Linked DNA regions of Drosophila melanogaster. The protein of the gene in region 2 interacts with the protein of the main gene of each other region in a pairwise test. Each region holds a gene or a part of one and is shown on either strand. Other genes may lie near its edges. The genes, in order: Naa30A and Idi.

Region 1 (5,200 bases), on a different chromosome or scaffold from region 2:
ATGCCTCCGTTCCGGAGGGCGACGGCCAGGAGCTCTCCTGCGGCCTGTTGAACCTGTTTAAGCATCCCGAAAAGGCCGTCATCCGGCCGAACATGTTCTTCAAGCCGCGCATGGTCGAAGTGAGCGATCTCTTCGAACAGAAGGAGGCGGGAGCAACGTCCAGCTCAACTCCTCCCACACCAGCCATAACCTACAAGAGTGCCTCTGTGCGGCAGCAGGTGCAGAGCATCAAGGCTGCTACGCGCTCCGAACTAAAGCAGCTGCGCGGATCAGGCAGCTCAGTTCCGACGAGCAGTCCCAATAATCGACGGCGAAGCAGGTGATGTTTCCGAGACTGACACCGCCCATGTACATACATACTTAGGATAAGCCACAACTTCACATTCATGGTGAGTCCAGCTTAAGGTTAGGGCAGCCGCCGTTGGCTGAATTGAATGTTGTTCATACTTTAAAACCTCCTGCTAGTTAGGATAAGTCCATGATCGATCCGACTTTGAGTATTGAAACCGATTGTTGTTGACGAATGCGACCAAGTGTGGCAGGGCAGGGAAAGATCGGTGGGGCACGTCAAAAAGAGCCGAAGGAAGCAGTCATTATTTGACTTTGTGGATGAGTAGTTATCCGTAAGACATACTTTCCTAGTTCGAGTAGTTATAATTCTGTTTTTTATGATAATAAAACGAAAATACCGTACTGGCATATAGTTTCTCAATTGGAAAACACCACACAAACTTCCAAACAAGCTCGCTATTCCCCAAGTTGTGCTAAACTAAAGAACAGAAGGCAGGATTTTCGCATTTGTTGAAGATTTTATTGCGTTCTTTCAATGTTACTCGGGATCCACCACATCTTTATCCTTATCGCTACGTGTTACGTGTTTCTGGAGAGCACAGAGAGGTTACTTAAGACCAGATGGCGAGTTTTCTTAGCCGCGAGGACCACCGCCATCCACCCATTGAAGGTTTGTATACAAGTATGCATATGAGGCTGCATTTTTGTGTGTCTGTTCTCAGCTCTTGGTTCCAATTGCGTTTATTTTGATATACATGATCGAGTTTATCGTTCGACTTGCGCGATCATCGCTTTGATTGATCTTTTTACAAAATTTGATACTATGTTTATAGCTTTGTAAATGGGCGTCGATGAGCGTGTGCTGCGCTGCTGCTTCATGTTGTTGTCTATTCCCTAGATTGGTTTTTGTAGATTGTTTAATGTACATAACTAATTGCTTGCTTACGACTTTAATGCTTAATTTTATGCATGTAAATCACGTATTGCATACAAAATTGCCTCCTGTAAAATTAACCAAATTTCGGGTCCGTTGTGTGCTGCTCGTGCTGCTCCTGCATATGTAGCAGATGTTGCTCGTACTGCTGCTGCTACATAATAAAATAATTTACAAATGAAAGAGAGACAAGGGACGGTGTGAGTTGGGGAGAAAATAAACTGATGCTACGATGCTTCCTAGTTAAATAGGTACAAAAAAGAGGGCGCCGATACAAGCTGCCAGCTGGCCAGGACCCAGGACGAGGGGAGCGCCCTGGTCCTCCGCAGAGCGCAGATCTCGACATCTTCGGCGGCTACTTAGACAACAATTTCAACGGCAGCCGCCGGGTCCACTCATCTAAACCAGAGCTTCAGCCGCAGCGCGTCCACCCCGTTAAGATAGTAGCGGAACAGCCGCTTATCTCGCACGAAGCCCAAGTTCTCGTAGAGCCGCAAAGCCGGCTGGTTACGCATCTCCGTCTCAAGCACCACCTCGTCGGCATTGTCGGCCAGCATTGCCTGCAAATGGGAAAATTGCAGTGTGATATAAGTTTTCACAGAAAGAGAGGTAGTTGGTATGTATCCCTCGCCAATGTGCCCGAAAGTATACCTCGAGGCTCGAGGAGCCATTGGTGAGCTTTGATGGCAATTTCATCCATAGTTAACAACACATAATTGTTCCGTAACACACATATCGAGCATCGATTACATGCAACCCGATTTATAACTTATTGCAAGGGAAAGATGCCCCAGACATCCTACCTCTATGGCCTTGGTGACCAGCGTGGTGCCGATTTTGAGCTTGCGATACTCCTTGCGCACGGCCAGCATGGCGATGTAGCCGCGCCGCACGTTCATGTGCATATCCAGCTTGCACACGATGGCGCCCACGTACTGATTGTCGTGCGAGGCGAGGAAGCAGAGTTTTGGCCAATTGTAGATGAAGTAGCGATACGTGTATATCGAGTACGGCTCGGACAGCTCCGCCTGGATCAGTCGCATGATGTCCTGCGTGTTCGATATGCGGGGAATTAGATAAGTGTTGCGCACAGTTCGCACTTGGTCATACTTGGAGGTACTCACATGCATTTGGTGTTCAGCCTCGTATTCCTTATATACGATCTCGTCGGCTGAAATGGCAGGTTCCGGCAGTTGGAGCTGTGCTGTAATGGTGGGCGTGGCCCCCTCTGCATAGTCGGAGGGCGGTTGCTTCCTCTCCTGCTCCCGACTGTGGCCACTCCCCGTCGCCACATGCACTCCCTGTTCCACAGCTACATCCTCCGACACTTTTGGTTTTGGGTCCGTCGTTGTGGTTGGGTGTATGTTGGCAGTGGTTTTGCTTGTGGCTGTTATGGGCTTCTCCTCCGGTTTGAGGGAGTTCGAATCCGATCCTCCGCCGTCGCCTCCTTCTCTTCGCTGCTTGCGGTTGTTGTTGCTGCTGTCCACGCTGTTGTTGTTGTGAGTGCTGTTGTTGTTGTTGCTGCTGCCGCTTGTGCAGCGAATGTGATTGTTGTTGCTGTGCCCATGTGCATGGCCATTGACGACCTCCCCAAGCGGCCGAGCCTCCTGCTCCTTGTGACCATGGCCATTGCAAAGGTGCATCTTTTTAAGCAGGCCTCTGAGTTCCTGCGCTGGCTCCTGGTCTTCCGTCGCCTCCTCCTCTTGGTGCTGAACGTGTCCATTGCTGGGTGTCTGTGCCTCCACCTGGCCACTGGAATTTGGATTGTGATTGGGGTTCTTCTCCGCTGAGTTCTTTTTGTTCTTGTACTTCTTCTTTCCGGCCGCCGCTGCCTGGGCATCCGCCATTCTGAAAAGCGACGGAATTGGCTCTAAGAGGGAACCTGCTGCTCCTCCGGGGCTTATCTGGGAGGACTGGTAATCCTCGCCTGCAACCGTGTGCCTCGGACTTATTTTTGGTTATATTTTCACAGTTGATGGTTTTTCATTCACACGCACACGCACACGCTCACGCACATACTCACACACTCGCGCACGCACACATGGGGCAGTCGGCCGTCCTCTTTGTTGTGCTTCCGATATTCGGAGTTCCGGATCGATCAATCCGATCTCGATTTGTGGCGCTAGTGCGTGTGCATGGCAAACTTATGTAAAATCCTATATCCGCAAAACTCGTAATTTTCCTTGCTATGAATAAATCCCACCCACACATATGCGCGAACAGCTGTAACAGCAATCGATTGGCACTCGATACTATCGATACAATCATCGCCGGCCAACTGTGACTATCGGCTATCGAATTATCAATTGATATTATTACTATTAAATTAACAGCTAAGATTAATGAAAATATTTAAAAATTATATTAAATAAAATCTAAAACTACGTTGATTTTATCAAATTTATATTTGGCATGCACCTTACATCGCAAATGTTCATATATTTGATATTTGATTAGATTTGATCTTTGTAATATTATTACAATCTTTAAACGTAATATTCTCATACCTATATTCTTTATAGCTGCCATTTAATTTCTGACTTTGGAATGTTAACTTATTTGTATTTGCAATACTTTTGCCAAATTAGATCGTCAGCTTGTGCCTTTTTGCGAGGGTGTGCTGTACATAACGGAAAAGAGGATCAATAATAAGAAGAAGAAGCTGCTCATTTCAAAGTTCTCTTCTTGTTCTTCCTTTTCTTCTTAAAGAAGAAGCAACTATTTTACGGCGTAAAGATTTTTGATTTACGGGACTTTTGTTTGAAAAAAGTGCTGCAAATCAGTTTGAAGTGTTAGTTATAATTAAGTGCATGTCGTGGCAATGAGTAGCATCGAAATGTTACCCGAAAACGGATGGAAGTCCAATAAATTGCTCGAAACGTATGTTCACTTACACTCGCCATTTAAAAGTATACGTGTGTGTGTTTGTGTGTACGTGCGTGTTTTCTCCTGCGCTTATTTTTTTGTCTCTTTTGTTTTGTGATTTCCAAACTATTAAAAACGTTCTTCAATTGGTAAGTTACTAGTTAAATTCAGTTGTACTAATTAATAACTCTGCAGTGCGACCTTCGCCTACTTTTGGTTTCCTTTTCGCGCCATTAGCATTCGCCATAAAATAAAATCCATAAATTACAGCTAAATCAAATGCAATAAAACCAAATTACAATCTCGAATCATATAAGTCACATAAGTCACTAATCCGCAGTTTCCTGAGATCTGCACTTCCTCCACTTTCCTTGCCGTTTGTCTTGGTTGAGAACGCAGGATTATTCGGAACTTGCAAAGGTTTCGAGTCAAATGAAAATATAACCCCTGATTTTACAATGTATGTACATATGTATGTGGTAACTGCCAGGAGAAATCCGCCTGCCGTTTGCTGTCAATTTTGTGGATTTTTAACGACGGCAATCAGTCGACTGTTTTAGCGTTATAGCCCGTCGCTTTGATGGGGACTCCAGCTCCTCCCAACGTCATAATCGAAAGACTTGGGTAACGAACGAACTCGGCATGGCCGATGTCGTTGCCTCTCAGTTGGGCTGGCTGCCCCCAGAACTGGGACTACATCAGCACTAGCTGGTGACGAAATCGGCTGGGGAGGCCAGGCGGTCTCGATCTTCGATCTGCTTTCGGACCAGCATAGCCTACTTTGCATACGGAATTGGACTTGAATTTGATTGACTGAAATTGAATAATCCGAGCCACGCGATTGGATAATTTCTTGAAATTTTGCATACGAACTTGCAAGCGCAAGTTGGCGTCCGTTTTTCTGGACGTCTGTTTCACTTTTCGCTGTTGCTGCAGTGACGCGGGCAAATCCAAAATTAGCAAAGCAAACAACATACGGAGAAAGTGAATGGCCGAATAAAGTAAAAGCAGTGGCGGAGAAAGGGTAACGAAGAAAGGGGAGAGAGCGGGAGCGGACAGGTGCCGCAGCCAACGCCTTATCACCTTGCTGGCGGAGATCTCTAAAAGATA
Region 2 (3,778 bases):
GAATGATATGCGATAGTGTTCCAATCCTCTGCACACATGTATGCTGGCTATTGAAGGAGGCTTTCTGGAGAGTGCGAACCAAGATCGGTTCAGATTTAATTGCCTTGAGTGAGAGCGGCAATTAAGTAGCACTGGAATGGCCTTTGATTACGTAGCACTGCGCTGGGGGTGGGAAAGGCTCTCCACGCAGGTGACTCATCCGCCCGACTAGCGATTTGGCCCGTCAACTGGGATCTCGCTGTATATATGTGTGGACTTTATACATATGCAGATTCCGATGAGAGTTTCGAACGCGCTTTTCATCGCCTCGCCCGTGGGCACTACATTGAAATCCAGCTGAAACACACAGTTTTGGTTATGGTTTCTCGATTGGGTCGGTTGTTAGGTCCGAGTGTGTATTTTGTTTTTAGCAAATGGTCTGTTTTTTTGGAGTTGCCAACGAGGGCAAAAGGGAGTGGAGTGGGGCTGCTCGATAATGAATGGGAATGAAACGTAGCAGAAATGACGTCGCAGAAAAAATAAAAGAAACTATTTTCGAAGGCCAGAAAAGGAAGTGGAAGCCCAGTCACTGTTTTAACTCCAGATAACTGCGCATAATTACGTGTGACGACTTACTATTCCGGATTCACAGATGACATTTTCTGGCTTTTTCACAAGATTATATATTTGCCACGAACAAATATTCGATTTCTGGCCCTGGACTGGCTGCTGTTCAGAGTGTTTTTATTTGATTTGCGCGTTCCGAAATACTGGAAATCGACACGCACTCGGCTTGTGTTGTGTTTTGCAGTTCGCTATTGTAATTATTGCAGCGAATTTAAATGGGAAATACGTTTATTTCCACAAATTCGACGGCCGAGAACGAGAACAATGGCGACTGAAAAAATGACGAAGTGGCATTAGCGGCAGTGTTGGAAAATGCGCGGGGCCCTCTTCCAACCAGGGCTACACATTATCTTGTCTACGGAGGTGAGTGGGCGGAACCAGAGAAGAAAATATATGGATTATCGCCAAATGACCCCTAACACACCCCATATAAAAACAAAAATACTTAACTTTTGCATACAATCTCTTATGGTACATCATTTGTTTCTAAACACGGCCTTTAACATTTGAGTGTTTGCATAGAGAACACATTAAAGATAATAATAATAATACGCGTAATAGTATATGAAAGAAGATTCGATAGGCGGGTGTAGCGCCTGGGGGAATGCATCTGGCAGATCCGATATACATATGTATGAATTGGGCCGCTACTCCAGCGAATTTAGCGTGAGCAGCTGCTTGAGCACCTTCGTCTGCGAGGTCTCCCGGATCTCGCCCGCCAGGAACATCTCGTCCACCACACTGTACACCTTGTAGAAGTTGAAGACCAGATCCAGCTCGCACACATTATGGAAGTATTCGTTGAGCACCTCCACGAAGTTGTGAATGGCCTCCAGATAGCACAGGTTGTTGTCGTTTACGTCCACGCAGATGCAGAAGTACAGACCCGCATAGCGTCGGTAGACGATCTTGAAGTTGCGGAACTACAAAGGCAAAAGTGTGATAAAAGGGTGATTCAAAAGAACATATGGACTCGATCCCACCTCCACAAAGTTGGTGTGCTTGGCATCGCGCACTGTGACCACGGCATGCACCTCCTCAATCAGTTTCTGCTTCTCGTCGTCATCGAAGTTCATATACCACTTGGCCAGGCGAGTTTTTCCAGCTCGGTTTTGTATAAGTATGAATCGTATCTGGGCGAATGGAAGGTCAAATAGGGGTCTAAGCTTATAGCTGGCTAGTTGCTTACCATTTTTCGGGAAATTGGTTAAACCGTTTCCTGCTTATTTACAACTTTTTTTGTTTCGAGAATGGGGGCGAAAAACTGATTATGAGCAAATTGTGTATCACTGGGACCAGGGCTACCACTACTGTTCCGGAACAGCTGTTACCTCGTCAGTGTTGCAAACAGTTCGCGCAGAAAGCAAACGAGTTGGCAGACCCGCGCGCTGTATTACGAAGTTTCACTTTCATATTTGTTTTGGCCACCACTCCAAACTAGTCATTTACCAAAAATGTTGGCCTCTCGCTTGAATCTCCTGTTGCCCCGCGTATCCTGGCTGCGCGGTTGCTCAACGACAGCGGTGGGCCAGAAACATCAGCGCCAGGTGCCCACGGAGTTCGCCGTACACGATCCTCTGCAGGCTCACGCTCTAAAGGAACAGTGCATCCTGGTTGACGCCAACGACCAAGCCATTGGGGCCGCCTCTAAGGCAGACTGCCACCGTGTGCATCCAGAGACGAATGATGTTAAGCTCCATCGCGCCTTCAGTGTTTTTCTCTTCAATTCTCAGGGAGAGATGCTAGTGCAGAAGCGATCGTCTCACAAGGTGAAATTAAAGGGTAATCCCCTTATTACAAGGTCCATAATCCTCTGTATCCTTAGATAACCTTCCCAAACACCTACACCAACGCGTGCTGCAGCCATCCGCTTTACGAAATCGAACAGGAACGTCAGGAGCGCAACGCACAGGGCATCCGTGTGGCCGCTCAACGACGTCTCAACTACGAACTGGGCATTCCCACAGAGGAACTGCAGCCACAGGACTTTCGCTACCTGACCCGCATCCACTACGCAGACACGGGCGACGGCGTGTGGGGCGAGCACGAGATAGACTACATCCTGTTCCTGCAAAAAGACGTGACGCTGCGTCCAAATAGCAACGAGGTCAGTGAGGTGCGCTACTTGCGCCGCGATAAGATCGACGAGGCGGTGGCGAAGTTTAGTGCCCCGCTGACACCCTGGTTCTCTCTGATTCTGCAGCATCGATTGAAACTCTGGTGGGACAATTTGCACCAGCTGGAGCAATTTGAGGACTTGAGTAATATTCAGCGCTTTTAAGTGTGCTAACCAACCAAAAATACACGTAATGACGTCTAAAAGGGGCTTTTGTTCGTTTGGGTTTCAAATTCGCTTTATTCAAATGGAAAATAGTGTGTGTCTGTGTGCGGACAATGGGCACAAAGCGGATTTTATGCAACCTCCGCGGGTCGATCAGTTCAGTACAACGCTTTTGTATATGTAAATATAACAATACATATATAGTTTGTATAGGCGCACGATATTCAATATGTTTCATAGCCTAACTAATGTGTTTGTATGTTGAATATCAAATAACTAATTAGCTTTTAAAATGATCACATTACGTTTCCCATAATCATCATCATCATCGTCATCGTCGCAACAAGAATAAATATGTACAAAAGTACGACTACAGGCTAACAGAGACACAAACTAAAAGTATTGATTCTAGCCTAAATACAGAAGAAACAAACAAAAGACAAGCTGCAGCACTTAACATTAACATATATCGCTTCGGGAGCGAGTTCGAAGCGCGCGCTTCGAGGCGTGAAGTGCAGACCCCGGGCGAATCCGGAGTCGACGTTCACGAGGCACCACCTTGGCACCGTTTCTCTGGGTACTCGAGTAAATAAAGCAATTGCTCGGAAATTCCAACAACTTAAAGCTAGACCCTGCAAACTTCGATCGATGGTTTGCACCTTTACGGCAGGGGGTGAATATATAGTTATATACGTATACGTACTTTTCGCATGCAATGGGGGTCGTATTTGTGGATGTGTGTATGTGTGGGGATCAGGATAAGCGCTTCATCCTGAATTCGATTAGTGGTTAAGGCACATAGGTATGAGTCTATCGTGAATCTCAGGCTCGTTGAATCTATAGAGTTACGGGTTTAAAGCTGCTGGGTGGCACACTTTGTCGTTCAGTTCC

The links.
Region 1: the proteins of Idi (region 2) and Naa30A interact in a two-hybrid assay, tested with the Drosophila melanogaster proteins (one large-scale study listed by BioGRID).

Annotation. Positions count from the first base shown.
Region 1 is NC_004354.4:1,340,364-1,345,563, reverse strand, and holds Naa30A (N(alpha)-acetyltransferase 30 A), read right to left. Parts: upstream 3,459-5,200; 5' UTR 3,073-3,458; coding exon 2,350-3,072; intron 2,275-2,349; coding exon 2,029-2,274; intron 1,786-2,028; coding exon 1,621-1,785; 3' UTR 794-1,620; downstream 1-793. Other genes in the region: MTPAP (mitochondrial poly(A) polymerase), read left to right, coding at 1-323.
Region 2 is NT_033777.3:21,268,156-21,271,933, forward strand, and holds Idi (Isopentenyl-diphosphate delta isomerase), read left to right. Parts: upstream 1-1,970; 5' UTR 1,971-2,060; coding exon 2,061-2,375; intron 2,376-2,431; coding exon 2,432-2,887; 3' UTR 2,888-3,253; downstream 3,254-3,778. Other genes in the region: Rab1, read right to left, coding at 616-638; AP-2sigma (adaptor protein complex 2, sigma subunit), read right to left, coding at 1,254-1,529, 1,590-1,739, 1,796-1,798.